Linked DNA regions of Oryzias latipes. The protein of the gene in region 2 binds, or shares a complex with, the protein of the main gene of each other region. Links are inferred from orthologs where the notes say so. Each region holds a gene or a part of one and is shown on either strand. Other genes may lie near its edges. The genes, in order: cdc40, bcas2, ctnnbl1 and rbm22.

Region 1 (8,037 bases), on a different chromosome or scaffold from region 2:
GCCATTAAATAATATATCATAAAGGTCAGGAAGAGAACAATCAGATTCTCCTCCATTTCTGTTTTGGACTGTGTTTATTCTTCGCTGTTGCTGTCAGTAGCAAATACTGTTACACACCTATAGTGTGTGTATCTCTCAATGTTATCCTATAGTGTGTGTATCATACACACAATCGGTTGTTTGTGGAAAAACAACAAATATATGAGCCTATATTTATATTTTAAAAATTGCATATTAGTCGCTCCTGAGTATGAGTTTCACCCCTGGCCAAACTTAGCAATAGATTGTGACTTATACTTCGAAAATACTGTATGCCACACTCTGCTTGCATCTACACCCCACATGCTGTACACAACAAGAAAATATGGATATATAGACATTTTTCATGAAACCTTGACGGTACCTGCAAATGGGGCAGTTGGGTGCATGAGGCTGTGCGTGTACTGTATTGATTATGCATCAAAGAGTTGATGTCACAGCGCAGCAAATCCACACTACAACATCTATGAGTAAATCCACAGAGAGCTGAGAGGGAACAATCACGTCTACTGCAAACATCTGCAACAATTTCAAAACCCGGCAGTCCGTTCTGCGCACATGCATGATTCCTCTATGGAAATAAGAGATCTAGGTTATCCAGTAGTAGTCCGAGGCACTTTCACATTCAGTAGCCACTGTAGTTCTTGAATAATGCATCACTTAAACTGACATTATTTGATTAAATGCAAGTGCAGTAGGTTTATTCATCCAATTCTGGGGAATTCGCTGCATTTTAAGGATTTATTCTATTGGAAAAGTGATCTAAACTAAGCTGTTAAATGATTTAGATGAGAGAAAGAGATGAATTTTTAAATATCAGGAGGACGATTGGCTAATCATCACTGGTCTCTGCTTCCAACACTCAAAAATCCAGCGGCGTAAGCACAAGGACCAGCAGTGTGGGAACATTACGAGCTCTGCAGCCAATGCCTCAAGAGATGATTCATTCTACATCAGTCATACATTTAAAACAACACGGACAACCTTTAATAATATACTGCACATCACACAGGTGTTTAAAAAGGACTCACATCCCGAAATTTGCATGCAATACACATTTAAGAAAAAAAATCTATGAATGGGATCCATAAGAAATGCCACATATGACATAATACAATGCAGAGATCTTCAAACTGTCGTGTAAAGCTGTGTAAAAACATTGTTCCTCGGCCATTGGTGTTGCACCAAGGTTTCAAATTTCACAAACCATAATTTTCACCACAATCTACCATCCCCCGCCCCCCCACGACAGTGTACAAACCGAGCTGCCTGGACTGGAACAGTCCCCAGCCCCCAAGTCAGTGCGCTCTAGGAGGGGGGGGGGGGGGGGGGGTCATTACCACACTGTACTAAACTGAAACTCTGATATCCCTTTCCCCGTGAACACACCACAGATGGGGGGAATAAAGGATCATTTATGGGGCTTTGCAAATATTTGCTTCCCCCCCCCCCCCCCCCCCCTCGAATGATATCCTCAGACTCTGCAGCAGGAGCCCTTGCAGATGTGGAGTTATCCCATCAAAAAAGTGCCCTTTTACTGGTAAATACGCATGATCACGCGTGTACTTTTTAAGAATAATCCACATCTGACCACTCTGCATTACAGTCACCTGTGTGCTGAGTTGACGTGAGTCAGTGATGGCCAGGCAGTGTTGAATTACCGTTATTGCCAAGAAGACAGCCCCGGTTTACGCTCTACAACATGGTGACTGACTCTGCTTCTAACTTGCTGGAATTAAATACATTTTAAGTCCGTTTGTCAGTTAAAAAAAAGAAAGAAAAAAAATGAAGTCACAATAAAGCCACGATGCTACCTCAAAATGATCCTTAAAATCCCGCTGATTTTCTTCCCATCTTCACCAAGAAGCAAAGCGTGCCGCCGTGTCCAAGAATTTAAATCCCCGTGTTACATCCATGGTTGTGCCGTCTCTCATATCCAATGCTCTCCTGCTGGAAGAGGCGGCGGCGAAGAAGGATCCAGCTGCATTTTTTAAGGGATTTTCCGGCTGGAATTCGGCGCAACTACAGGGAAATCGTGCTAATCTAAAACAGCGTCAGGTTTTATAACATCAAAACATTACCTTAATTTAAAAACTTTTAGTTTTTGTTGTTTATTCGAGGTTACGACCGTGATGTGGCATTCATTGAGGAGAAAACGCCCCCGTTTCGGTCTTGTAATGGTATGAGCCACTCCATTGTTGAGGAGTGAGAAACCGTCTGTAACTGGGAGTGCGCCAGAAAAGTTGTTAAAAACAGAAACCTAAAAAATAAAATATAGATTTTAAAAATAGTTATAATGTTGTGCATATTTGAAATAAATTCTTAGAATGTGTTTTGTTCATAAAAGTATAAATTAAAAACTATATGCTTAATAAAACAAATGGGGACTATTTAGTTACATTCCACTTAGCAGTGATTACACAGAATATACATTATCCACATTTCTTTAGAATTGGTTGAAAACATTATTATAATATATTCTTATCATATGCCAATGTTTTCTGACTTTATGTTGTATTTTCTTCACTTTTTTAGGGAAATTGTTGCATAACTCTGTGTTACAGACTCATACATGCCAAAAAAAAGTAGTAGTTGCAAACTGTGTTATAATACAACAGATAGGCAATATTGCTCAAGTATAAATGTGTCATTCTTAATTATGCAAATTACACATTTCAATGGATTCATGGCGTGCTTTTATTTTTGCAGGCTTGCTGCTGACTGCAGTGTTTTGTAGGCGCTGTAAGAACCAGAACCCTTGGATCTATTCTGATCCTATTTAACTTGTACAGAAGAGGCTTGGGACCATGGACAGACAGAGAGAGAGAAAAAGGGCAAAGAAAATCTCGACTTTAATCTCAGAATTTTGACTTTTTTCTCAGAATCCTGACTTTTTTTCTTCTCAGAATTCTGACTTTAATCTCAGAAAGATTAACTACGGACGCCTGTGAGCTATTTCCTACAGTTACCTTTAGCAACACTTGAGTCATAAACGCTGGAGTGTAACTAATGCCCTGTTTCAGTTTCTTGTTGAAGGCCTAAAGTTTAGTTTAAAAAAAAAAGCAATTGTCATTTGTTAAGTTAATGGTTCTTTTGAGGAGAAAAAAAACTCCTAAAACACACACAAAAAAGAAGAACAAAATAGTCAATGAAATTGATCAGAACACATGGCTAAAAATTGTGTTTAGTGCATTGGGGAAAAAAAGCTTAAAGTTGCAATGAGAAAGGAAAACAGTACATTTTGTTAGTTTTTCATGATCTCACTGTTGTGGAAAAAATACATTTTGGTCAGCTGTAAGACCCATTGCTTAATATTTTTTAATTAAAAAAATAGCATGTCTATAAACATGTTTATGTGCTACGTCACATTATGCATGTTATAAATAGATAAATAAATAAAATATATTAGTCTTACAAGCATGGTACCCGCATTATAATTGGTAAACACTCATAACTTTAAAATTGTCCTAATTTTTGATATAACGAGTTTTTACATTTTTTTAAATGAAAGTTGAATAATTTTGTAACCGGTAGTCCCGCCCTCGGATTTCCGGTAAATTCACAACATTCAAAATGTCTGCCGCCATATCTTCCCTCGCTTCGTACGGTAGCGATTCTGACTCAGAAAACGAGTCAGAATCAAATACTAGTACAGAACAAGCTGACCCGATGGACTCGGATGCAATGGTTCACCTTAAACCGTTGCAATCTGGTAGCATAATGTCTTTGGCAGTTCTCAATTCTGCCCCGGAGGTGGCTGTTAAGGTAAGCTAAGGCATCTAAGCTAACTCACGTTAGCATAAAATGTAAAGTTTGATGACTGCTCCTCGACGACAGTTTTTTACATGTTGATAAATGTTGGGTAAAAGTCGCGAAATCTATAGTCAGGGTTTTAAATGTGTATAAGAATTCATACAAGTCAACTTATGAACACAAATCAAGTATAGACCACAAATATGAGCTAAGGCAGCAATTACACAAGTGTACATGATGATACATTAAAGATGTATTTACTGGCCTCTTACTAATGCTTTTTATTAAGTAATAATTTATTGGTTAAAGTTTTTGATATTTGCGTCTCAAGCGTACGTAAATTGAAGTTAATCTTACTTTATTGCTTTTAACGTTGAAATCTCCCTATGTTTTCATATAGCTATTAGTGTCTTAATTGAAAATAATAGGTTAATAGTATGTAGAGATGTCTTTATTTTTAACTGACAGTGTTCTCCAAGTTAGTTACAAACTAATACATAACTGATATTTTTAAATGTTTCAGAACTGTATGTAATGACCTGACATCTGTACTACTCAATAGTTTTTTTTAAACACTTGTGAAAATGGAGTGTAATGTAAGATGACAATATTTGGCAAAGTATTTCACATGTCCCTTGATAATTTTGTTAGTAATGACTGATAATCATTTGTTTGCGTTGATGGTAGGAGTCTGTTGAGACTGGTACACACCTGGATCCCACTTTGAAAGAAGTCAGTTATAACCCGACATATGAAACTCTGTTTGCTCCTGAGGTAAGTTTGTAGTCATTCCACAAAGGCAAATTCAGAATAATGTTACCAACGAATGTTTCTTTATTTAATCAGTCAAATTCTAACAAATGTGACTTGTATTGGGGAGAAAAAAAAGGAAAACTTCTCAATTCAGTCAGTATGCAGCAGAAAAAATCACCAGCTTTACAATTTACGATTTGATGCTCAGTCATTGTTTTCCTACCGATAGTTTTGTCATTTGTCATTACTGTTATCATAACATATATTTATAATAATCAAGCCCAGTTTTTGACAATAAAACCAAGCTTCCTGGTTTCACTGAGGTGATTTATTATGGATGCAGCCTATTATATATATATATATATTTTTAAATTCTATGAGATTGAATTCTAAAAACCTTGATTTAAAGGCTTCTTTTTCGACACTACTTCCCTCACTTATTTGAAAAATCCTGGAAAAAGAATTAATTTCCACATAATTACATATTCAACACTAGATTATTATTGAAAAATATGTGGTTATGTTACTTTTGGGGAAAAGATAAATTCACAATTTTCTATCCCAGTTGAATTTTCTTTTGTTTTTCATATTCCTCTAGGTATATGTGTTTTCTAACAGATTAAAAATAGAAACAAATTTGTCAGAATCGATAAAGATGAAAAGACATTTTAAAGTTGTGAGAGTGTTTGACTAAGACGTTTTTTTTTTTATCTTAAAGGTTTATAGTTAAAAGTTAATAACAACAGGATTATGCAGTATTTCTGACAAAAATGATGGTAAATACTTGTTAAATAAATAAATACATTCCAGTCAAAATAGTAAAGGCTGGATTTACTAAATTAAATAGTAGTTTTACTTTATGGAACTACAGATGGGCTCTTCTCCTGCTTCACACAAACCAAAATTTCATTAATAAAAATGTATGTTGTTTATGTAATCAAAACATACAACTATTGGCTATTTTTATTTCTTTTGGATGAAAAAAATCTGGGTATGTTAGATGTCATGATTTGTTTTTTTATTTCCAACCATCTACAGATGAATTTTCAAAGCGGAAAAACTTTTACGTGAATACAGAGTGACACATGAATTAACAAAGGACTGTGGGTCAAACACAACTGTGTTAATTAGTCTTGTTTGTTCCTAGTTTGGACCAAAGAACCCTTTTCAGACGCAGCAGATGTCCGCCCCCAGGAACATGTTATCTGGATATGCAGAACCAGCTCACGTCAACGACTTTATGTTTGAACAACAAAGAAGGACGTTCTCTACTTATGGTAGGGTTGACTTTAGGGTGGATGAATTCTTTCAAAGTTCACACTTTGAAGACCACAAACCCATATTTTATCTGTTGATAGGTTATGCTTTAGACCCTTCTGTTGACGCTCAGCAAATAACCACCACTAGCTACATCGGAGCGGTGGATGAGGCTGAGAAAAATAAAGGTATTTGTTGAAAGTTATTTCTCATTGCATCATTAAACCATAATCCTGTGAGCCCTGACCACCTGTTTACAGGTAGAGGAGACAGACGAGCTCATGGCTTAATGTCTGTCATAAAAATATTGGAAGATGTCATTGATTTGCTTCTTTGTGTTCACTGGAATTCCAGGACTGACCGTTTTTGAAAGCGGTCAGAAGAAGACAGAGAAAAGGAAGAAGGTTAAGGGGGGAGAGGCTGCAGATATTGATCATTTCCTTGGGCCGTGGGCCAAATATGAAGATGAGAAAAATGTGGCCAAACCAACAGAGGTGATGTTTTCTCTATTACAATGTACACTGTGACTCATATTTAACAAAAATTTAAGGACCGTTGAGAACAGCGAAGTCAGCCATTGATAAACAGATATAAGATGCTACAGATATTACAAGCTTTTATGTTTGTTTTTTTAAATTAATACTTGCCACATCGCACATACTTTGGGAGAGCTGTGTTTTAAAATTAAATGTACCCATTAGAAAATATTGATTCATTCATTAAATTCCCTTTTTTGCCATTTCTTGTAGTTTTAAGGCTAACAGTGGGTTTATAAGTTCTTTTAAGTAAATATTTAATTTTTTTAACTTTTGTTCAAATTAAATAATTAATTTATGGGGAAAAATCCTTAAAATAAAAAATAAAAATGAGTATTAGGTTGGATCCGATAAAGAACAGTTTAGCGAAAAAAGTTAGATGGTGTTTAACTGATCTGATATTTTACTGTCAAAGCAAGAATATATTTATAGTTCTTTGGCGCTTAAAAAAGAATCCGCAAAAAAATTCATTTAAAAAAGTGTTTATGGAATTTTTCTGTATGGTAGAGACATACCTTGAATCCAATGTTACCTAATGTCTTACTCTATGAAGCCACAACCCTCTTTAAAGTATTCTTTACACAAAAACACATGTTTGAGATGAGCTGCCACCTGTTGGCCTGTTCAGTCTTTGGATTGTTTGAAGGTTATGGTGTCTTGAGATTTTTCTAATGATGTATTTTCTTGTGCAGGAAGAAAAGAAGGATCTGGAGGAATACCTAGCTAAGAGGCAGAAGAGAGGAAAGAGGGAGGAAGAGTCTCCGGCAGAAGAGAAGACCATTCTTCATGGTATTTGGTTTTTTGATAGGAGTCTATAATATTTGTTGATTATAATTACGTTTTTTATATTTTAATGTTTAGAGTAACAAAGTCTTTAGCGAATTCTAATTCAAGTGTATCACAAAAAGATGGAATAATGCTTTTCTACTATCATTTTTCAGTAAAAAATCTGCTACTATGAGAAATTTTTACATCTTCTTAAAATTATTAAATTTCATTTGAACTATGAATGTTAAGCAAAGCTCTATGCTATACTGGATTGAAAAGTATTCATGTTTCAAGATCATTTCAAACACTTTTCCCCCCATTTGTTCTTCTCACAGTCAAAGACATGTACGACTACCAGGGCAGGTCTTACCTCCACGTTCCGCAGGACGTCGGCGTCAACCTGCGTTCGCCTGATGCTCCAGACAAGTGTTACCTGCCGAAGAAACAGATTCATGTGTGGTCTGGACACACCAAGGCGAGTGGAGCGGCCGTTAATGATGCTCACGCTAAAATTTTTTTTACTCTGATATTTTAAACTTTTTTTAAATTGGTGGACTTTCTATAGCAAGCAACAGTCCTCAGAATCTGATTTGTCATACAAATAGGTTTTAGAAAACCGTCTTTCCTATAAATGCCGATGTCCAGAAAAATTCCTCAAAGCCTCTTATGTAGTGAAAGTAACAGAACTATTAAGGAAAACAACTTTTTCTGTAAAAGTTCTTCAACAGCAACACCCTATTCTGATCTGAATGTCAAATTAATATCTCTTTTGGGTGAGGACATCAAAAGTTGGTGTTCAGCTTATAAGTAGGCTTTTAGAGTAGAAAAGAAAATTAAAGTTAAAATAGTTTGACGCATTTAGAAATATTTCAATAGCAATAGAAAGATTTTGATAATATTAGGGACAATAAGATCATGTTTAGATTCAAAC
Region 2 (7,581 bases):
GGGAGTGCTTCCAGACTCCAGTTGGTTCATCCGTGCTCCTGTTCCTGACCGAGTACCTCGTCTCTGCTCCTGCTCCTACACCTGGCTGTGGTTCCTGTCTCCGGCTGGACTCGCGCCCCGACTGTCCCCCCAACTCCAGCTGGATGAAGCTCGTCTGCTGGACTTTAAATATGTAGTCGTAGATTTAGATAAGTTAATTCTTCTCTAAGGCCGCCTTCACACTGCATTGTTCAAGTGACCCAATTCCGATTTTTTCCTCTCATGTGGCACAGATCGGATATGATCGGTGAACGTGTAAGCAGGACAAAAGCGCATGGATTCCGTTTTTCTCAGATCGGATACAGGCCTCTCTCATATGTGGAAATAAATCGGATACGAATCGGATACATGCATTTGCGTGTGCCATGTAAGCAGACAAATCGGATATTCCCCAGTAAATGCGAGTCGTACGTCAGTGATGTCAATTCAGGATACCACCAACTGAGATCACATGACTTGTTAAGGTGCTTTTTGTGCGCTGATTTTGCTGTCAGCGTGTTACCTTTCAGCCTCAGGCTTCAGACCGTAGTTGGAAACCGCTGTTATGTCCGGTCCGGTCCCGGTCGGGACGCAAACGGTATCTAATCAAGCGGGACACCGTTGCTATGGAACAAGCTAGAAGCTGTTTATTTTTTGGGGGGGCGTGTATGATGGGGACAGTGTGTGTGTGTGTGCGCGCGCGCGTGCTTGCGTGTGTGTGCGTGTAACTTAAGGAGAGGAGAGCGGGTGTGAGCGCGGAGCGGGGGACTGTCGGAGAACCGTAAATTAAAAATAAGGTGTCTCGCCCAAAAGTTTTGGAGTCTTTCTTAGCCCACTGGAGGCAGAGGGTTCAGAACGGAAAAGAGAACCCCGAGGAAATCTCCCGTGTGTCATTGCTCAGGAAAGGTTCAACACTTGGATCAAACTGTTAGTACAGCACAACGTCTGCAAACACTTCCTCATTCAAAACTCAGAGAGAGCACATAAGACGGCCGACCAGCCCTCCTTCTTTCCCCCCCCCTCTGGAGCGCCCAAGGCAACGCCTCCTTCCGTCGCCGCCTTGCCTCCATGACAACCGCAGTCACAAAAGTCCAAAGGATGACCGTGGAAGGCGGAAATGCTGCTACGTAGTCCTCAGAACGTCTACATGTGACAGTTTCAGCATTGTAGTGTAAATGCAAAAATCAGATACGGGTCACTTTTAAAAGATGATGTAAGCGGGTCGTCAAAAAAATCGGATATAGTCAGAAAATCGGATATGGGCATCAAGACCTGCAGTGTACAGCCGGCCTAAAAGTTCTGGTCCATCACCTGTCCGTCCTGGGGGAGGATCCCTCCTTCATCACCCCTGAGGTTTCTTCTTTTCTTCCGGAATCCGTTTTTTTAGGAGTTTTTCCTTACAGAGAAGGGGGGTCTAAGGGCAGAGATGACCAGTTTAGTTTAGTCAGTTTAGTATTTTCCTATTGAATTCTATGTTTTCATGATCCTTTTGATTCTATGTTTCACTTTTTTAATTACCGACACGAAGCCCATCGAGACGACTGTTGTGAATTTGGGCTATAGAAATAAAATTGAATTGAATTGAGCCACACAACACATTAACTCACAACACAACACAGTAACTTACATCACAACACATTAACTTACCATACAACACATAAACCCACAACAGGGGCGCAACTACCTAATTTCATAGGAGTATGCGGCCATGTAACCCCCCCCCCCCCCCACACACACACACACACAGACATAAATGTACATAAAAATAATGTCCCATCCACCCCACATAAAGCTATCTCAACATCCACATAACATATCTCATTACTTCTTATCTGATTGAATATGACCCAGCAGAGCCTTTTTGTGAGCCATTTTCAACTCAGGAGATGGCGGCGTTGGCCTCAGGTGATTCTCTGTTCTTTGTCCACCACTACAATGTCTGGTTGGCTCCCCATTACCATCCTATCAGTCTGGATCTGGAAGTCCCACAGGATCTTTGCCCTCTCATTCTCTACCACCTTCGGAGGTGTTTCCCATTTTGACCTTGGGGTTTCCAGTCCATATTCTGCACACATGTTCCTGTATATTATTCCAGCCACTTGATTGTGGCGCTCCATGTATGCTTTACCTGCCAGCATCTTACACCCTGCAGTTATGTGCTGGATTGTTTCAGGCGCCTCTTTGCACAGCCTACACCTTGGGTCTTGTCTGGTGTGGTAGATCTACACCGTGGGTCTTGTCTGGTGTGGTAGATCTACACCTTGGGTCTTGTCTGGTGTGGGAGATCTACACCTTGGGTCTTGTCTGGTGTGGTAGATCTACACCGTGGGTCTTGTCTGGTGTGGTAGATCTACACCTTGGGTCTTGTCTGGTGTGGTAGATCTACACCTTGGGTCTTGTCTGGTGTGGTAGATCTACACCTTGGGTCTTGTCTGGTGTGGTAGATCTACACCTTGGGTCTTGTCTGGTGTGGTAGATCTACACCTTGGGTCTTGTCTGGTGTGGTAGATCTGAGCCTCTATGGCTCTGGTGCTCAGGGCTTGTTCCTGAGCTGCCAGGATGAGTGCTTCAGTGCTGTCCTGTAGGCCAGCCCTTTCTAGCCATTGGTAGGACTTCTTGATATCAGCCACTTCAGTTATGGTCCGGTGGTACATCCCATGCAGGGGTTTGTCCTCCCATGAGGATCTGTCCTCCAGCACTGTATCCTCTGTTCTCCATTGCCTGAGACATTCACTGAGGACACTGTCAGTTGGGGCCTTGAGCTTGATGTGTATATATATATATATATATATATACACTAATTAATTTCAGGATAAAAGCACCTCCATTGCAGCTTTACTTCCATTGTGAGTTAATGTTTTGTGAGTTTTTGGGTTGTGAGTTAATGTGTTGTGTGGTAAGTTAATGTGTTGTGAGTTAATGTGTTGTGACCTTTCTGTGCCACTGACCAACAACAAAGATGAAGACTCATCCAGGAAGTCATGGAAGACGCTGAGACTTTTGAAAATGGATCAGCACAAAATGCTGCAGATTTCTGAGATCAAAGTTCAGTGGATGTACAGAAGACAGGGGATCTGACACAAAACCGCCTCACTCTAGGCCTCAGACTTTAGGTTTCACTGTTCTTCAAGAGGGATGAATGACAAACCATCCAGCTGCTCCCATCTGTTAGCTTCCAGCTCATCAGCTGCAGCTCTGAAGCTCAGAGACTTACAGGTAAAAGACTGAAAAAAATAACAATGTGTATGAAACGTTCATTTTATTAAAACGATAAAAAACAAAAGTTGAATCAAAAACAGGATTTTTTTTCTCCACCACAACTTAGAAACTGTACAACAAGCTACAAAGACATCGATCATGTCGATCGATCATGAGTTTCAAACCATGATTTGTGTGTAACTGAACACAAAAGACCCAACGGTTCCATCAGAGGAAACCGACGCCTTTCAAACATCATCCGTCTTGGAGTCGAGTGACCCGCTACGCTCCAGCAGTCATCGAGTCGTCCAAACCAACCGAATCAGATCCATCCAACGGATCCCGGTGAGGTGACTCCTAAAAGTCCTGTCGGATGTTCTCCTTGTTCTCCTCCCCTTGCTGCTGCCTCAGCTGAGCCACCTCGTTCTCCAGCTGGACGATGGCGCGCTCGATCTCATAGTTTTTACTGACCAGCGACACCCAGCTGGCGGGAATCAGAACCAGAGTCAGACATCACCCCTCATCCACGAGAACACCAGAACTTAAGAAGAACCTACTTGGACTCCAGCTCTCGCAGCTTGGCGCCTGCAGCCAACTGATCGTTTTTGCGCTGCCAGTTCAGGTCCTGGATCTTCTTCCTGCCGGCATAAGTTCAGAAATGTGTAACCATGGTAACCGTTGGATCTTTTCAGGCATGTATGATCCAATCCTCAATCACCTGAACTTGTGGAGTTCCTTTTGAGCCAGCTCAATCAGGAAGGCCAGATTGCTGAAAAGGGACAACATTAGCTTTGAGTCTTCAGAAGAGTCAGACACCAAAGGGTGAGACCCACAGGCCGCCACTCACTCGTTGTAGACCTTCCACGCGTTTGTTCCATAATGCGACATGAGCTCCAGGTTCTCGATCCGGATGGCCTGGTGCTCCAGCTGGGCCATGGAGTTATTGACACACTCCTGCCAGGCGGTAATGTCGTTCTTCTGTCCCGATGTGGGGGCTGGAAGCTCATACCTCCACAGCAGAATAGAATCGTTCTATGGAATCACCCTAAACTTTCTCTTTCTTTTACATTTACAGAAATATTGTACAGACAGACAGAGTGTGTTTTTTACCTCTTCATGCTGAGGAGGTCCATTGGTTGTCGAGCGGCTAATCGCTCAAACTCATTCCTCATGATTTCTGTCTGAAACCCAAAACAAAACGGGAAAGGATTATAAACCGGTTAGCCAACCCAGACTAGGAATCAAGTTTCAAATGTCTGCAGGTTTTCACCTCAAACGGCGAGAACTCCGGCATGGGCAGGTAGCTCAGGTAGTTCTTAGTTGGGCGATACCTTCTGGTCTCTTCTTCCACCAACGCAGCGGCCTGAAGGGCCAAGTACAAATGATTTCTCTCCATTTTTCATACAAACATGATTTAAAAATGAGCCACAACCCCTGATGATCTAACATGTCAACTTAGTGTCACCAAACCCTGGTTCTCCAGATCTGCCGGCTGTTTCAAACCCCTCAGCTGTTGTTTTACCCGATGAGGTAAACAGCAGCTTTGGCTTTGAAGGTTTTCATCCTAAATTATGAACTTGTATAGTTTCAAAGCAGAAACCTATAATGACAAGATCTAAAGAAATATACAGGCGATCATAATAATAATGGTTTGGCCAACTATACATTGAACGGCGCGTTACCATGCGGCATCGCTAGCTAACAGTTCTAACTAGCTATAAGTTAGCTAGCTTTTAAAGCAGCATTCTTGTTTACCCACCGCTTCTCTGACACCTGGTGCGTCATAACCTTGATCAAAATACGGCAACGCATCAACAAACACTTCGCCAGCGACCGAGGCCGTTCCAGCCATGTTCGCTCCCCAGTAAAAAAAAATAAAAATAAAGAAAGAAAGTCCTTTTCTGCTAACAGACTCCAAACGGCTAATCAGAAACTTCCGTTTCCGGTCAAAACTTTCCGAAATAAAAGTCTCAACGGTGTTGTATTAATCGTGATTGTCGCCTCTTGCGTTGAGGAATGGAACTGCAGCTTAGTAGATAGATAGACAACTTTATTTATCCATTTGGGAGGTTCCCGCATGGAAATTGACATCTCCATCGCATACAGCACTGGTTGACATACATATAGGAAAAAGGAAAAAGCAGCACAGTGACTAGAAAAATGAGGAAGATTAGAACAGTAAAAAACAATTTAAATATCTGCAAACAGTATATACAAAAAAAAAAAAGTGATTCAGGCCCTTTCCCTTTCCTTTCTGTCCCCCTCCCCCCTCCTAAGTGGTTTGATGGCCCGGGGGTGGTAAAGAGTTTGATGGCCCGGGGGACAAAGGAGTTCCTCAGTCTATTAGTCCCGCACCTTGGGAGGAGCAGCCTCTTGCTGAAGGTGCTTCTCTGGCTACCGATAGTCATGTGCAGAGGGTGGCTGGTATTGTCCAGGATACCTGTCAGTTTTTTCAGTGTCCTTCTCTCTGCCACAGTAGCCAGACGGTCCAGCCTTGTGCCAACCACAGAACCAGCCCGCCTGATCAGCTTCTCCAGCCTGGAGAAGTCTGTCTTTGAGGTGCTCCCCCCCCAGCACACCACAGCGTAGGTTATTACACTGGCGACCACAGACTGATAGAAGATCCCCAGGAGCTTCTTGCAGATGTGTAGTGTAACAAACTTCAGGTTTCAGCTATTACTGCACTACAGTAAACCTTTAAAGAGTTTCATATTAAATTTCAACAAATAAATGCTTTTTTTATCTTTCTTTTGTTGTTGTTCTAAAAAAATATATAAATAGCTTTTTCTTCTGATACAAATGTGATCAATCTTGTAAAAATACTTCATCATCACTTCAATATTTTTTTTTAAATAATGTATATAAAATTATAAGTTTACGTTGAAGGCATTTCATCTTAACAATACAGAAATAATAACCAAGAGTAAATAGCCAAGAAAGGGGAAGTACTGGTATGTGTATGCATTATAGTATGTAGGGCCGCACAATATGAGGAAAACTCGCTATATGCGATATTAGTGATCAATATTGCGATGAAGATATAACTTGCAAAAAATGAACAAATAGCAAAAACAACAAAAACATTTCCATTTCCCTTCAAATGTTTAGTATAAATAAGAGTCAAAATACCTTAAATTTATCTTCCAAATGACCCTCGTCTAATTAGTAGGGCAACATCTAACGTAAGAGCTCCATCCGATTGGTCAACAACGTAAAGGGCTATATCTGATTGGTCAAATGCATAAAGGGATTTAGTTAATTCATTAAATAGCTAAAGTTACCATAAGATTGTTTTAGCACATTTAAGGTTTACCATTTATTGTGATTTTCGCTGACTTTTGCGATATGGATATTGCACAGCTTGAAATCGCGATAACGATAAATTTGCGATTAATTGTGCAGGCCTAATAGTATGTTTTTTTGCGTGTGTACACGTTGCAAAACCAAATTAATCCTAACATCTGGGAAAACAGGATCAGTTTCTGGCCAAGCTCCTCCACAGAATAACAGAAAAAAATAAATGTGCAGATTTGATTCAAAAAGTGATTTTTTTATTTTAATTGAATTAATGTATAAAAAGAAAACATGTTTTTTGGATGATTTAATTTCCCTCTTAATTGAATTTAGACGAAAATGATCTAATTAAGTTGTCTAGATTTCACATGTTTTGTTTCTTATACACTGCTTTCCGTGGCTAAAAGGAAAACTTGATTAGAGTTTGTCACAGATTTAATAACGACTGGAAGAGGCTGCAGATCCCCCAGTGACCTTTATGGAAAAATGTCTTTCTAATGTTTACTAGTAAAACTTGTTACTTTTTTTCATTCTAAGTCAACAGCACAAAGACCCTATGATGCTGAAATGTGGAATAAAAATCTCACACTATGCTTTTTAGTCAGTACTGCTTTCTTATAATGTCTTTGTTGTCTTTCTTGAGCTTTAAAGCAAAAAAGCAGGTAGAACAGTCGACTGCTGGTTGGAAGATTGCAGGTTCAGTTCGCACTCTGTGCAACAATGTGTTGAATTGTTGAAATGTGGAGCTGCCGTTGTGTGTGTGTGTGTGTGTATGTGTTGAGTGAATGGGACAGTGACTGTTAAGCATTTTGGGCCTTACAAGAAGGTACTAAAGCTCTATACAGGTAAATGCCATTTACCATTTGTGGGAGACTTGTGGGAGAATCACATCAAACTTCTTTCTATCCCTCCTCCTGTTATCCCATCCCTCCATTTTCTTTTGCTCATCCAGCTGGGTCGGGCAATCTTTACAATTCCCAAATTTTAAAGAAATAAAATCATATTCTGGTGTTTGTTAAACCACAGAAGAAGAACACAGTTTATATTAATGTTTTTTCAGGATGGACTTAC
Region 3 (7,524 bases), about 980 kb from region 2:
TTGCAGTTTTTTTCTTTGTTTTTTTTTGATGCACAACGTTCATAATGTAGTGTTTTATTAGGAAAAACCGAGTTGAAATGATCCTGAGCCACAGAACGTTTTTAATAGGAGCCATGATTAAGTGCAATGAACTGACACTGATTCCAATAAAGGGGAAACAATGGAACTGGTCGGGAAACGTTCGGGATTCATTTCACATTTCTAGAGAATAGCGCGCCCAACTGTTCAAAACATAAGTGACATCTGAAGCGTGGTTTGACCAAACGAAGCATTTGGCGCGTCATCCACCACGTGATCTGCGCTAGTTGACACACGCCTCGAAACATTGTGCCGAACCACCTCATGAAGGTGAACCGTGCGCCAAAGCGCCGTGTAAAACGGGCCATCTCTAGTAACAACCATTGGTGCAATTGTGAGAAAATTTAAGAGGTATAACATGACCATCAATAGACCTCGGTCTGGTGCTCCACAGAGGATTTCACCGCGTGGGGTGGCTATGATCATGACAACAGTGAGAAATCAGCCTGCAACCACACAGCGGGAGTTAGTGAATGACCTCAAGGCAGCTGGGACCACAGCCACCATGAAAACAATTGGCAACACTAAAACCCTGCAGTGCCCCATAGGTACCCCTGCTTCAGATGCAACATGTGGAAGCTCGCCTGAAGAATGCCAATGATCACCTCAAAGATGCACACAGTGATTGGGAGAAGATTCTGTGGTCAAACCAGACCAAAATCAAACTATTTGGCCTAAACTCTATTCGTCATGTGCGAAGGAAGAAAAGTGCTGCCCATGATCCCAGGAACACGATGCCCACCGTCAAACATGGAGGTGTGAAACATCATGTTTCAGGCGATGCTACACCGCATCAGTGGGAAGACAGATGGAGCCATGTACAGTCCTGAGAGACAACCTTCAGAAAGCTGAAAATGGGCCATGGCTGGGTCTTTCAACAAGACAATGACCAACAACATACCAGCATCCAGCAAAGGCAACAAAGGAGTGGCTCAACAGGAACCATATTGAGGTCATGAGTGGCCCAGCCAGTAACCTAACCTCAATCCAATTGAAAATCTATGGAGAGGGCTGAAGATCTGAGTTGCCGAGCGGCAGCCCACCAAACGTAATGATAGAGAGGGTCTCCAAAGAAGGGTGGGGCCAAAATTCCCCCTGATATGTGTGCTAACCTTGTGGTTGACTGCAACTAACGTAGGAAATACAAATAAACTCTTTCAAGTTATTTTCTGGATTTTCGTTCTGATATTCTTCCTCTCCATGTTAGAATACATCTACCATTAAAAGTATAGATTTATTATGTCTTTATTAGTGGGCAAACCAGATCAAATCCTTTTTTTCTCACCGTGTCCATCCATCATCCACTGATCATCAATTTGTCCATCTATTCATTCATTTACTGGTTTATCTATTCTCATCCATTTTTTCATCCATCCACCATTTCTTCCATGTATTCATCCATTATCCATCCATCCCATCTTGTTTTTGAATCCGTCATCATTTTACTTTAATAAGGTGGCCAGAGTTATTAATTTCTAAAGCTCTGAATTTTTAACAACGATCCTATTTTTATCTGTGGTGCAGAAAGGAACAGGAGATTCTACTGCAGTGAATGTCCTAGATTTCTCGCAGATGTTTGTTTTCATGTTTGAATTTAAAATAATGAGCAGAACTTGTTAGCCAGCGCAGCAGTTTTCATGAAGATAATGTTCAGCATTGTTCTAATCTGAAACAAGTCGTACTCGTGGTACAGCGTACACACAAAAAGTCAAGATCCAGTCATGGATTTGGTCCAGATCCAATCAGATGACGATGAAATAAACAGGAAGAGAGAAAGTCAAAGTACACGCATCTAAAACCAGAACGAACATGTGTTGGAAAGAAAAATGGAGCCTCCAGAGAAAAGGCACACATATGACTGTCAAACGTCAACAACAGCTGATCTGAATGACATAATCTTTAGTCAAATTACATTATGCAAGAATAGATAAAAGTAAGAGAGGGGAAACCGTTACAGTGTTGGTCAGAAAGAAAGAAATATATATAGATATAGAATTTGACATAAAGAAAATTACCTCCGCATAATTGTAGGCATTTCTAAAAAAGACTGTTGTTCTCACCTAGAGTGTTGTAGATGCCATCAGACTCCTCCTTCACCTGCTCATCCAGTCGCTCCATATTCTGCACCAGCAGAGCCACCACCTGACCCTCCAACTGCAAAGACAGAGTCAGAATGCTGGCTTTCAGAAATTGGTTCAAATGGTTGAGGTCATCTCATAATGTGATCACAGTTTGGAAGTTCCGATAGAGAATGCCATCAGGAACAATTTTTTAGAATTCAGTTTCTCTCTTTTCTTCATCAAACATCATATTTTTGCTGAAAGTCTCCCAAAATTATTTCATTTGGTGGCAAATCTGATTCAAAAACTTGAAAATCTAAAGGGAGCAGCGATGACGGATCACTCCAAAGTCTGAAACTTTGAGAGGAGATCTAACAGGAACCGAGCATCACTAGTCCAGACACAAACCCAACGTAGAAGTGGGCTTCTCCGCTGAGGACCTGCAGGAAAGCGCTACGACAGATGAAAGGAGATGAACACTCAGTCGTGTGAATCGTTCTGATTTATCTTATCAGGGACAGCACCTGGCCTTCTGGCAGCAAGGACAGAAGAGCAGCAGACGTTTGGGCGCAAGGTAAAGACAGATGAAGCCGGCCGCCCTGAAACACTTTCTCCATGTGAGGAATGATGGTTTCTGTGGCCGTTCAACTCCAAAACAAATGACCTTCACTTATTTTATTTCAGTGTACCAAACATATGTTGTGGCGGCTGTGACAGAAGGGTGGAGCGGTTGTCCTCTAATTGGAAGTTGGCGGGTTAGACTCTGCACGCCCACATGTTTAAAAAAAAAAAAAAAAAGAGTAAGATATTGAACGTCTGCTGCCCCTGGTGGCCCAAATAGTGCAGAGGTGCTACCATTGGTGTACTGAATGAGGCTGTATTTAACCATTAAAGAGGTTAGATCAGTGTTTTTCAACCAGTGTGTCGTGGGAAATTGCCCTCATTCACTTAGGATTGTGCCGATGGACGATATCATCGTCCATCGTGATGGGTGACTGACATCCCGATGGAGAGACCACCATCGTGATGCCACGCCCCCGCCACGTTGCGCGTCGACACCATAAGCCGCGGTTACATGTACAAAATATCTTGATGGGATCAATGGTCAGATTAGAATCCAACCGTGTACATGGGCCCAGAAAAATGTTTTCAGAATATAAAAACGTTCACTAAGGTCACACTTTCCGTCGGAATAAATCATTCGCACATGCGCAGTAGGGTTTGAAAAACGGAAGGATATAAATTCCGCCGAGCGCCTTTTTTTTTTTTAAACTTTATTGAATGTAACAATTCAATACAAAACATTGTTAAACAGCGCCGAGCGGCTATATACATTGACATGTCAGCTCGGTAAAATACGAGATGATCTTCTAAACGTGCTTTTAATAATGTTACGGTTATTATCAAACACCTGTTCGCTCATCATTTGAATTTTAATCCGTGTGGTCAGTGCTTTTTCTGAACGAAGCCAGGATTAGCAGTATGCTAACACGGGCTAACAACATTAGCTTTGGGTGGTGCTGCTTGCTGGCTGCACGTAAACGTGTAAGAATAAAATCAGCCTTTATTTAGTCGGGACACGACTGGAAACACAAATCCGCGTGATTGTTTGAATGTTTTCTAAGGACTGAGCGACATTTCTGCTTTGAAGCTCAAACCGCTGTGTGTGCAGACGGTCCGAGCTGTGCACAGACACACACTTTTAGACCCGGTTCTGAGTTCGGATGCTTGTACCCCTAGAGCTGCGGGACGGATCGCAGTCTTAAATCTCCCACACATACCGCTCATGTACCCCCCTTCCCATCAAACACAAAGCTGTAAGTCCGCGCTCCCCCGGAAGTGCGGGAGCGGACTACTTCTTTTCTATTTTGTTTGTTAATTTTTTTGTTTAAGTCACTTCCCTCAGTTTATACTGGATCATCGCGGATTAGTCATTAGTTGGGAAATAAAATGAAAAAAGCAAAAAAACGAACAGCAGTTATATAAGAACGAAAAATGTAAAAATACCCCCCCCCCCCCCCCGACGATGTCATCGTCCATCCCGATGGTTGACAGCAAACATCGTCAACGGCCAATTTAAGGGACATCGCCCAACCCTACATTCACTGATCTAAAAACATTTTCCATCTCCAGGATATCAGCTCTGTGTTCATCCAAACAGGCCCTGATAAAACACTGAGTAGTTAGGAATATGAAAGATTATAAAAGACTTTTTTCTTTGTGTTTATTTGATTCTATTAAAGACATTTTGATAAGAATGACGGCACCGCGATTTAGCCGCAGCTTCAGCTGTTTTCTGAAAAGTCCCGCCCCTTCAACTGTCTCCACCAATCATTCTTGGAGTCTTAATCACATGTCATCAGTCTGACCAATCAGAAGTGGTTAAAGTCTTCACTTCCTTGTTCCATTACTGCTCTCAGTTCCAACAAAAACACCAGCTAAAGCTCGTCTTTAGCGCTGTAGCTTTCCGCAGGATCCGGTATCAGACCGTGGAACAAGTGAACAAAACAATGAAGCTCAGAGATGCTGCTCTGTCTGCCACTACATCTCCCATGATGCATTGGGTTAAAGTGACAGCGTCTCAGCGTACAATGAGTTTTTCCTCTTAAACGTCTTAAAACAACAACGAACAGACATCAAACAGTTTTTAAATCTTCTAACTTAACTTTTTTTACATCTTTTAGAAAAAACAGCTGCAGTTTCCAGCTTTTTCTGCCACAATTATCATAAAAATGCACGTGAGATTGCAGAGGGACTGTAGATCAATACAGTCTATGAGTTTCTCCTTCTTTTTTTTTGGATGCTGGTGTGCCGCGGGATTTTTGACAAGGTTAAAGTGTGCCGTGGCTCAAAAAAGGTGGAAAAACACTGATCTAGAGAAATGACAGCACAAGTAATGAATAGGATTTAAATGTTAAGCTTCCTGTATATTTGCAGTTAGTTCGTCATAAATGAGCAAGTGAGTGAGAGAAGGAAGAAAAGAATGAAGGAAGAATGGATGAATGGAAGGACGTAAGTAAAGAATTAAGGAAGGAAGGAAAAAAGAAAAAAGGATGGAAGAAAGAAAAAAGAAAGGAGGGAAGGAAGGAAGGATTAAATTATGAAAAAATGAGAGATTAAGTGAAACAATAAAACACAAATGAATGAATGAATGAATAAATGAATGGGCAAAGCTCTCCTTTTTGCCACTAAGACACTTTTTTTCTATCTTATTATAGTTTGATCTTCTAAAACCTGAAAATCTGCAGACAGAAATCCGCCTCACAAGACGTCTAAGAAGCAAACGGAGACTCCTCAAAAACTCCAAATGTCAGCAAGGCGAAAGTGAAATCCTGCTACTGATTCATTAAAAATAAGACCAAGTAATCAATTCTCCTCGGCCTGAGTTGGATGCAAAAGCCGAGTAACTTAAATATTGATTGAGCCAGCGTTGCTGCATCAATACCAGCACAGACTGAGAGAAACTTTAAACTCACCAGAGCATCTATGAGCACTTCAGCGCCCTCCTCGCTCTCATGGAGTGTGTCGATGTCTGTCAGCTCCTGCAGCAGGTCCACCACCGCGATGGCGACATGTGCTTTGGGTTGAGGACAATAAAACTGACCGACAACAGCCCCGCCCCAAACAGACAACTAAATCATATCAATAATAACACATGTGGGTGAGCCCAAAAGTCTTAGTTTGGTTGCTTTCATGTTATCTTAAAGATAGATATTATTAACTGCTACAACAGGTTTTCTAGAGTTTTTCTAATCAGAGCTAACAAATCCAAAATCGCTGATGCATTATGTTTTATATAGAGCTCCAGCCCCCAGATAAACCAGTTTGCAGGTCAAAATCCATGTGAAGGATATCTGTGTTTTCATGGCTTAGAAGGCCCAACAGGGAGTGGACGGCATTGAGCTCCACCAGCAGGTGGTAGAGATCCGGCATGGTGGCGATCACGTGCATTTCCTGGATGATGTCGTTGAGATCCAGCTCCGACTCCATGAACCTGGTTCGGAAACAAAGTTAATAGTTTTCCAAAAAAAGAACATTTAAACAAAATCTTTGATGTAAAAAATAATAAAGGAAAAGCATGTTTACTTCTCAGGATTGTCAGGAAACTTGATCCTCAGTTCCTGGTTTTTGTATGACCTTTTCTCAAAGGTCAGGATCATTTTCTTCACTGTGCTTTCATCCACCGGCTCGGCCTGTTTGATCCGTGGAACATCAGAGGACATGGCAGTGGTGAAGAAAATAGAGGAGGAAAAAGGGGGCAAAAGCTTTTTAGGTCGAAGCAGCTGCTGCCGGAGCAAAGAGCCATCACTGCGACATTAAACGTGTGAGTGGAGTCATTTTTTTGCATCAATTAGGGTACATTTTACAGAAAAAGGGGATGCGTTTGACCTCCTGAAGGCTTAAAAGCTGTAAAGTGCTAGACGGATAATGACCGGTTAGGACATTTCAACTGCCTGACATTATGGAGAAGAGGAGCCATTAGCTCTGAGAGGCCCTTGACAGAGTAAATTTTTGAAAATGCCTGCAGTGTGGGGATAATATGAACTGAATTATCAATGTGCAGTCTTCAAATGCACTGCAATATGGTAACACTGGTTCTAGTGTTACTCCTTTGGAAATTCTGACGCAGCTGCATTTTCCACCGTGGCCTAACTTAAGAGCTTCGCCTTCTGGCTTTTAATGCCACAAAAAAAAAAAAAAAAAACAGGTACGTTTACCAACATTTACTCATCACCGTGGTCTCTCTTCATTTTTATCTGTTATCAATACCAAAAGGATGGTTACATTCGCACACATGCGTTTTTGTTTTTGATAATTGTTTTCACCTCGCACCTTGAAAAATGGACACAATGAACATTTAAATAAGGAGAAAGAACCTTCTAACACTTATTAGTTCTTCTCAGTCACTTCCTTCCCTCATTTTGTCCAATTCTTACCATGTGGTTGTTAGCAGAAGTTGAGTAGTCGTGGCAACGACACAACTATTCATCTATGCTTAGACAGTAGTGCAAAAGAACCAAAAGCATTAAGCTCCTCCAAATGTATGCCGTATTGCAAATGTTCATCACTTCTGCATCATTCCTGCACTCTCTAAAGAGGCAGCTCTGCATAACTCGCTTTAAATTACAAACAAAACAGCATTTTTCCACCTAAAGAGGAATCAAATGGTCTCTGTGATAAAAAAAGGAAGAAGTCTGAACTACAGACACAGCCTTTTGGAAGAAAGAAAAAAAACGACCAGTAAATAAAAACAGCTTTCCCACCTCGGGTTCTTCTTCATCCTGGTCCATCAGTTTTTCCAGTATCCTCTTCTTGTCCCCGGTCTGCTCTTCGCCGTCCCCCGGTTCAGCACGACCCTCTGATCCCGCTCCAGCTTCCCGATGTC
Region 4 (8,003 bases), on a different chromosome or scaffold from region 2:
CAGCTGAGAGCCAAATCCCACTCAATCGTTTATAAAAGATTGTGTTGGGAGCCATTGCATTCCACTTCTAGTCTTTTGTCCGCCTCTTGTCATGTGTGGACTTGCAGAATGAAGTGAAAGACGAATCATCCTTTCATTTGGATTTGCACACACTCGTTGGCTTCTTTTTTTTTTTTAAATTAGACGCGCCGGGGGGGAAAGCAAGGATTATTTTATTGTTACCCCTGAGTTGTTTTGAGTCACTTACTTGAAACGAGCATATCCACGGCGTTAAACGCACCGCAGCGGCTACAAAGTTATCAAAACAAGTTGCTCGGTGGCCGCTGGTGCATTCACGGGATTCGATCGCGGTACTCCGCCGTGAAAATCTCGGTGCAAACCGGCTGCAGCTCTAGCTTCTGCCGGGCACTAAACTTCGAGCAGTGAACGCATCCTTTCATTTTTCGCGTCAGAGCCAGGCTAAATATGAACGCTGCCTCTGGGGCTTTTTGTTTTATCTTCAGTCGAGGGGAGTCAGGCATTGGCCTCAGCCTCGCGCGAGCCAGACAGCGAACACGAGCCCGGCCTGGGAGAGCGCGCGGCGGGGCTCCGCGGTACCAAACACAGGCGAAAAGCAGCGCCAGCACACTTGTTTTTGTGTCGACGTACTCACCTCGTTTTAGCAGATTTCGGACGCTCTCGAGCCGGCTGGAAGGAAAGCGGCGCTGGATTTCGAAGAGTGAACAGAAAAGGGTCTCGGCTCGCTGTTGTCCTTAATGTGGAAGCGGCACGGCCGACTCGGCTGGGAGAAAGCTGGAAATGTGAGGAAGCCCCTCTCCTTCTGCAGCGTTGTGCACCCAGCAGTGGCCCATAACTGTCAACAGGTGGCGCCAAAGCGACACTTTTTTTTCTTATGCGCATGCATGCATGTTGAAGTCCTCAATATTTCTTGGGCTTATCTGCATCCCTGCTCCACGGTGCTGGGATTAAAGGGACCTTGATCTTCTGTTCGCTAATACTCTTGAACCAATTTTCTTGTGAAGTGATGCTCAAATTATCTTAACAGATTTCTTTCAAAAATGTCATTGAAAAGTAGCTGTTTGATTTGCTTTTAACAATTTTTTTTGGGGGGGGGGGGGTATCGTGATTTATTTATAGATAAGAAATTACTTTACAGGCATACATTATGGCAAATGAAGCGTCACAAAATATGCCTCTGGTTACAGATGATCTTATAACAGAATATACAGTTCTTTTCGGGGGGTTTTAATCAAAAATATAAAGAAAGCTTGGAGTATAAAACTAATACAGACAAATTCAGAAACAGCCCCACTGTAGAGTTGAGGCATTAGCAACAAAGAACAGCAAAGACACCTACAAATCCACTGGCCTTGTGACTCATGAGGTTGGTCATTTTGATCTCTAATTAGCTAAATTTGAGACAAAGCTTTCCTTCAAAGCAGTTTGGCCATCTCAGTCTTTTCACATGATAGAAAGGACGGGGTCACATGACTCATTAAGATATGGAAGGTGATGCCCTGAGGGGGAGTTTCCTGTGGTGATCTTTTCAGGGATGTTCTTGACGGACTCTGCTGGCCAAGCAGAGAAAGAAAACAAAAGGTTAAAGCGGATGGAAATTTCCATTCAGCGCCTTACTGTGGAAGCACAAGCACATGGTATGCCCCTGATTTACAACCAAAAGTCCATGAACCTCTAAAAGCACATCCCAAAACGGAGGGTCAATATAGTTGTTTTTAACTTACATGTGGCCTGAAAGAGCTCTGCAGACCAGTTAAGTGGGCCTGCATCTAATCTCTGCTCTGTGAATCCACAATCTGACCTGTGAAGTTAAATAAACATTCAGGATTTAAAACCCACTCGTAATCTTCAGCATCCTTCGCCTCACTAATTGGAATTTCACACAACAAAGACACCATGGCCTGAATTGGACCAGGTAAACGGGTAAACTCTAACTGGACAATTGGCTTTCACAAGCTCCCATACACCTGCCAATCAGCCAGCCTGTCACTTCTTCCGTCTCTGGAAATGACACAAACTCAGGCGGCGCAAACTGTTGGGACTCACAGTTTTTCATAAACCTAAAACACTTTACATCACCTTTTTGCATTTATCATAGATTTATGATCAAATGAAAAATAAATAAATTAAAAAATATATTAGATTATTTAGCAATACATTAAATTAATCATGTGTTTATGAGGAAAACTACATGTGTTTAAACTTCTGATAAAACATACCATTTTTGTTGCATAGCTCCTCTACAGAAGTTAGATTTTTTTCCTTCAGACGGAGCAGGTCATGGACATGGATTAGGTCTAATCCGGAGTCCGTAATCAGGTTAACAAGTAACTAAAAAAAAAAAAACTATTAACCTTTAGTTCCAGAATAGAAATAAGTTCATGGTCTTTAAAAGCAATAGCATTAAATATTGTTCCTGAAATAATAAAAGCTTTTTTAGGATAACAACAACTGTTTTAACAAAGCATTCATTATGCTTTGCTGAAACATTTTCTACTTTTAGATAGATAGATAGATAGATAGATAGATAGATAGATAGATAGATAGATAGATAGATAGATAGATAGATAGATAGATAGATAGATAGATAGATAGATAGATAGATAGATAGATAGATAGATAGATAGATAGATAGATAGATAGATAGATAGATAGATAGATAGATAGATAGATAGATAGATAGATAGATAGATAAGTTAAGGTTAAGTTAATTAGTACTTACAACTGATTACTAAACTTTACTCACACAAATGTTAAGAGCGCAAGAATATTTTCGAAACAGAATGAACAAAATTTTGTGACGCTTGTAAAAACTTGTTATCCTATTTAAACAAAACTGTTGTTTTTTCGGGTGACATCAGATAGTTGAAAGTAAAGATCTTAAATTGTCAACACTGGCACACCATATTACTGTCAACACGTCAAACCAGTCCAACTCGATCCATTCCATTGAGGGTTTGATCACTAACAGTTTCTGGTGAAAGAGCGACACCCACAGGCAAGTCTAGGACCTGCAGCGCGGTGCATTGTGAGTTGTCGTTGTCGGCCCGGTTCTCCTCTCATTCAGCAAAATGGCGACTTCTCTTGGATCCAACACCTACAACCGACAAAACTGGGAAGACGCGGTATGTTGAATTGCTTTTATAGTTTAAGTCTAAATGTGTAAAGAGACCACACATCAATTTTATCACATTTCAAGAATACTATTACCCAAAAGCCTCTTTGATGTGTAACAAGGTAGCTTCCCGCTAAGTAGCATAGGCTAATGCTAATGCGGGAAGCATGGTAGCTAGCTACTGTTCTTCGTATCGTTACAGTAATTGTAAGTCTTTAAATCCCTTAATGGGTCAGGCAAACACAGATTGTGGATCGTTGGCAGCTAGTATCATCCATTTCCAAAAGTCCAAACAGATTTATCAACCTAAACGAGGCTCGGCATGTATGCTAATTTACGTTAGCTTTAGCTGCCTTACGATGCTGAAGTCATGTTGGTTGAAATGTCATATTTGTAAGACCGACTCAGCATAATGTCAGTCAAAAACAATTATTTTAGAAAAGTTTAAAGAATAAAGTATGTAGAATAATCAGAGTTTTAAACAATAGACCTGTTTGTTGATCTCAAACCATGATGTTGCAACCTCGTCATCACGAATATTAAGAATTCATGTATTTTTTTTCGCAATTGCTGTTACAGGTTTCCTGTTTGATTCCGTAACAGTACTTCTTCTCTTGTTTGAGAATAAAATATGAGCTAAAAGATGTCTAAGTAATTGATTCATACCTGACTGGCATTTTTAACGCAGTTAATGCGACACTTAACCAATCCGATGTAAACTGGGCAACTTAATTTAAGTTCCCACTGTGGTCCTAATGTAAATCAAGCAAATGTACAATTGTACCTTTAAATCTTAACACGACTATAAAAGATAAAAAGTGTTTGTGTCTTCCCTTAAAGCATAACACAACCAGACATTTGATTAGTTTTAGTTGAAGCTACAGTCTAAAAACTTTGTAACCCGAATATGTAAGTGATGTTTGAGCCCAATGATCTGCCCATGTTTGGGGTTTTTGGCTGATGCGGTCAGAAGGATGGAAACAGCATCCTTAACCAGATGGAAAAGTGGGTGATGCTGAAAGCTTTACTACCCTCACATGTACATTTGTCAAGCAGAGGCTGAAATGTAACGGTATCCCTTCAGCTTGAATACTAGTAAATGATTAGCTGAGAATTGTTGAATCCACGTTTTCTTGTCTGTTTCAGGATTTTCCGATTTTGTGTCAGACATGCTTGGGGGAGAATCCTTACATCCGTATGGTGAGTAAGTTTCCAGCTGAATTATTTGTAGGTCTTGTTTATGAATTCACATTAATCATATTAGTTGTTTTTTTTTTATATACAGACCAAAGAAAAATATGGAAAAGAATGCAAGGTATGGCTTTCTGTTAATTTTCCTTAGCCTTCAGAAGAATACACAGCTTAAACTTGAAATATTTTATCTTTAAACTGGATTTAAAGTTTTTCTTCTTTCCATTAGATCTGTTCTCGACCCTTCACTGTATTCAGATGGTGCCCGGGGACTCGAATGCGTTTCAAGAAGACAGAAGTCTGCCAGACTTGCAGTAAAATGAAAAATGTTTGTCAGACATGTCTGCTTGATCTAGAGTATGGTGAGTCTCGGGATCTTTCTACTTAAATTTGGATTTGTGTACCCCTTGTGCAGGTCTTATTTGTCAGTGTAACACTTTCTCTTGATGTGTTTTGATTGACAGGTCTGCCTATCCAGGTCCGTGACACAGGCCTCACAGTTAAAGATGAGATTCCTCGCTCGGACGTGAATAAAGAGTATTACACACAGAATATGGAAAGAGAGGTAGATTTCCTTTATGTAATGACTTTTCTCTTCAGTAGCATTGCTTGTTATGACGTATATTATTTTAGGTTGCAGTCATTTCCTTTACTTCCAAATTGTTTTCATATTGAAAAATGCAACACAACTTCCAAAGGTTTCCCAGTTCCTTTGCAGCTCTCAGGAGTCTGTAAATATCACTGCACCGAGAACAGCTTGGAGCATTTTGATCAGAACTGCACATTTATTGTCATTAACGACTCGTCGCATTCACAGATGGCTAATTCCGACGGCACACGGCCTGTAGGCCAACTCGGCAAGGCTACGAGCTCAAGTGATATGTTGCTCAAGCTGGCCAGGACCACGCCATATTACAAGAGGAACCGGCCGCACATCTGCTCCTTTTGGGTGAAGGGAGAGTGTAAGAGAGGCGAAGAATGTCCCTACAGGTGAGGACTAATAGCATCTGTAACCAAAAGACAAAGGTGCTGCTGTTTGGTAGATCTGAAACTGTAATCCATAGTTTTATTTGGTTTAAAAGATAAAAAATATATACCAGCATGTTGTGTGTCTTTGGGTTTTATTCCTGTGTTTGCTGCATTTCAGGCACGAAAAGCCCACCGATCCCGATGATCCTCTGGCTGACCAAAACATCAAGGACCGTTACTATGGCATCAATGACCCGGTCGCTGACAAGCTGCTAAAGCGAGCCTCAACCATGCCCCGACTAGACCCACCAGAGGATAAGTCCATCACCACTCTCTACATAGGCGGTTTGGGAGACAATGTCACGGATGGAGATCTCAAGTAAGGTTTTTTTTTTTTTTTTTTCTGTCTTTGTCACAACAAGAAGTGACAATTTTGATGCCTTTATACTGTGCTTGAATTTCTATGTGTACTCTTGCAGGGGTCACTTCTACCAGTTTGGTGAAATCCGAACCATCACTGTAGTCCAAAGGCAGCAGTGCGCCTTCATCCAGTTTGCCACGCGCCAGGCAGCTGAAATGGCCGCAGAAAAGTCCTTCAACAAACTCATCCTTAACGGACGGAGGCTCACTGTCAAGTGGGGGAGGTACGATGACTCTTGGTTACTGAGGAGGCCGTGCTGTCATTTGCTTGTTAAACGCCAGATGTTCTTAAAAGAGCAAGAGCCTTTCAAACTGCCTTGAGGTGAAGCCACCATCGATGTTACAAGTGTTGGGAAACGGCTGAGTGTGGCGTTTAAAAAGTGGTTATTAGAAACACAGCAGGAGCTTAATTGTAGCACACAGGTTCTTCCCATCTGGGAGATATTCTGTCACCTTTTTTTTTGTCTTTCAAGTCAATCAAAATTCAAACCTGTTTGTCTTTTAGGTCTCAAGCAGCGAGAGGAAAAGATGGTGTCAAAGATGATGAGCTTGGCATCAGACTGGATCCTGTACCTGGACTTCCTGGAGGTAAGTCTTCTCTCACAGGGGGGGTCAGTATTTTATGTGTGCGCACATGCAGTTCAAGTCAGGGGTGTTGGCGCCCCTTTAGGAGGTCAAATCATTTTCCCATAAACATAACCACTTGCTAAAAAAACGATGTCTCTAAGAGCCACTTATTTGGATTTGTAAGATGCTGAGATCCACACGTTACATTTTAGTTTGGGATCTGAGGGTTTTTATGAGAAACTAAACGGTCATCTTACATTTTACTACACTGTTTTTTAAAATAAAGCACATTTGGTTATTTTTTGTTTTCATCAAACAGCAGTTTTCTAAGCGTGTTCCTTCTTCGACACACTTTGATGAAAATGGTGTTTTTAACATTTATCATGTTCATTATTTGGATGATGGAGGACATATTTGAAGAAAATTAAACTCAAAACTGCATTTCTGAGTATTGTTTGTATTCAAATTCGTTGATGATCAGTAGCAGATGAAAAAATGCTGTTGGGGTAAAAATATGTATCTGCGGGGTAGAAAATCCGCTGGGCGGGCAAAAGGCTTCCTGCTCCGAGTCTCAGCCACAAGAATTCAGAATCTGGATTAAGATGCAGCAAGAACATCTTTTTACCGCCTTTAATTCTTCTCTTTGCCAGCGCTGCCTCCACCTCCAGCTTTAGATGAAGAGGGTCATGCCAACTATTTTAACCTGGATCCCAGCTCCGCTCCTGCTGTCATGAACATAGGTTTGCCTCCACCTCCAGGTATCAACCCACCTCCTCCAGGTAAAAACATGGCTTAGACTTACTTCTAAGTGATGCAGAAAGAAAAATGGAAATGGATACTAAAAACCTTCTTTTGCCCACGCAGCTTTTGGTCCTCCAATGTACCACCCTATGGGTCCCATGGCTCCACCTGTGCCCCCTGCTATAACGATGAGACCTCCGGGTGCAATCCACTACCCCTCCCAGGATCCTCAGCGCATGGGTGCTCACGGCGCTCACGGCTCCCGTCACATCACCGAGTGAAGTCCTGCAGTAAACGTTTGTCTCGGTTTCCTCACCATGAACCTGGTCAAGTGTTTTCATGTGACAGCCCCAAACCTGAAGACTTCACATGGATCAGTCCTTCCTTCTGTACACAGCCCCACATGACATCCAATGAATTCATTACCTCAGTATGTCTCAAGAGGAAAAAAGTGGAATAGTACTCCATCACTGTGTAGCTTCTTGCAGTTCTAAATGAACACAAAAGACTTCCAACATGAGTGCTGGCCATGATTACTGTTGTAAAGTTCTTAGGGGTGGACCTGTTCTTGTCTTATTTTGCATAGTGTCACATAGAGCTCGATATGGAGGATTAATTCTAAATCTGTCTCTTTTCTGATTTCTTTTTTTTAAAATAAATTTGATGCAATATTCCACTGCATAATGACTTGGGTTTTTTTTCCTGAGCTCATCATCAAATTGACTCAGCTTTCATCTGTTTGCACCATTTGGTGGATTTGGAAGTCTGGTAAATGAAAATATATTAAACTAGAGTGTAAATTAATAGACAAAGAGACTGCATATTAGTATTGCATGTAAAATGTACTTTAGGAAATACTAGGAATATTCTATTGGAAGTATTTATCCACAAAAAGAAACTCCATCTTCCCCTGCTTACAACTGGTACTCCTTAAGGAAGATTACCCCAGGAAAACGTTTGCTCTTCAACTTCAGCAGTTCAA

Evidence for each region.
Region 1: bcas2 (region 2) and cdc40 share a complex: the UniProt entries of both Homo sapiens proteins name them as parts of the postcatalytic spliceosome P complex. The link is inferred for Oryzias latipes from reciprocal best matches to the Homo sapiens genes BCAS2 and CDC40.
Region 3: bcas2 (region 2) and ctnnbl1 share a complex: the UniProt entries of both Homo sapiens proteins name them as parts of the PRP19-CDC5L splicing complex. The link is inferred for Oryzias latipes from reciprocal best matches to the Homo sapiens genes BCAS2 and CTNNBL1.
Region 4: bcas2 (region 2) and rbm22 share a complex: the UniProt entries of both Homo sapiens proteins name them as parts of the postcatalytic spliceosome P complex. The link is inferred for Oryzias latipes from reciprocal best matches to the Homo sapiens genes BCAS2 and RBM22.

The regions. Positions count from the first base shown.
Region 1 is NC_019882.2:8,075,287-8,083,323, forward strand, and holds the start of cdc40 (pre-mRNA-processing factor 17), read left to right. Parts: upstream 1-3,612; coding exon 3,613-3,804; intron 3,805-4,479; coding exon 4,480-4,566; intron 4,567-5,692; coding exon 5,693-5,822; intron 5,823-5,903; coding exon 5,904-5,990; intron 5,991-6,156; coding exon 6,157-6,296; intron 6,297-7,030; coding exon 7,031-7,127; intron 7,128-7,441; coding exon 7,442-7,581; intron 7,582-8,037. UniProt on the Homo sapiens protein: Required for pre-mRNA splicing as component of the activated spliceosome. Plays an important role in embryonic brain development; this function does not require proline isomerization.
Region 2 is NC_019865.2:940,178-947,758, forward strand, and holds bcas2 (pre-mRNA-splicing factor SPF27), read right to left. Parts: upstream 5,173-7,581; 5' UTR 5,069-5,172; coding exon 4,976-5,068; intron 4,580-4,975; coding exon 4,487-4,579; intron 4,398-4,486; coding exon 4,327-4,397; intron 4,226-4,326; coding exon 4,064-4,225; intron 3,986-4,063; coding exon 3,935-3,985; intron 3,855-3,934; coding exon 3,774-3,854; intron 3,701-3,773; coding exon 3,574-3,700; 3' UTR 3,261-3,573; downstream 1-3,260. UniProt on the Homo sapiens protein: Required for pre-mRNA splicing as component of the activated spliceosome. Component of the PRP19-CDC5L complex that forms an integral part of the spliceosome and is required for activating pre-mRNA splicing.
Region 3 is NC_019865.2:1,919,686-1,927,209, forward strand, and holds part of ctnnbl1 (beta-catenin-like protein 1), read right to left. Parts: coding exon 7,403-7,524; intron 6,332-7,402; coding exon 6,225-6,331; intron 6,133-6,224; coding exon 5,993-6,132; intron 5,713-5,992; coding exon 5,615-5,712; intron 2,233-5,614; coding exon 2,139-2,232; intron 1-2,138. UniProt on the Homo sapiens protein: Component of the PRP19-CDC5L complex that forms an integral part of the spliceosome and is required for activating pre-mRNA splicing.
Region 4 is NC_019868.2:16,385,136-16,393,138, forward strand, and holds rbm22 (pre-mRNA-splicing factor RBM22), read left to right. Parts: upstream 1-3,013; 5' UTR 3,014-3,089; coding exon 3,090-3,143; intron 3,144-4,279; coding exon 4,280-4,333; intron 4,334-4,418; coding exon 4,419-4,448; intron 4,449-4,553; coding exon 4,554-4,686; intron 4,687-4,788; coding exon 4,789-4,889; intron 4,890-5,141; coding exon 5,142-5,314; intron 5,315-5,471; coding exon 5,472-5,672; intron 5,673-5,772; coding exon 5,773-5,937; intron 5,938-6,218; coding exon 6,219-6,301; intron 6,302-6,930; coding exon 6,931-7,059; intron 7,060-7,144; coding exon 7,145-7,302; 3' UTR 7,303-7,702; downstream 7,703-8,003. UniProt on the Homo sapiens protein: Required for pre-mRNA splicing as component of the activated spliceosome. Involved in the first step of pre-mRNA splicing.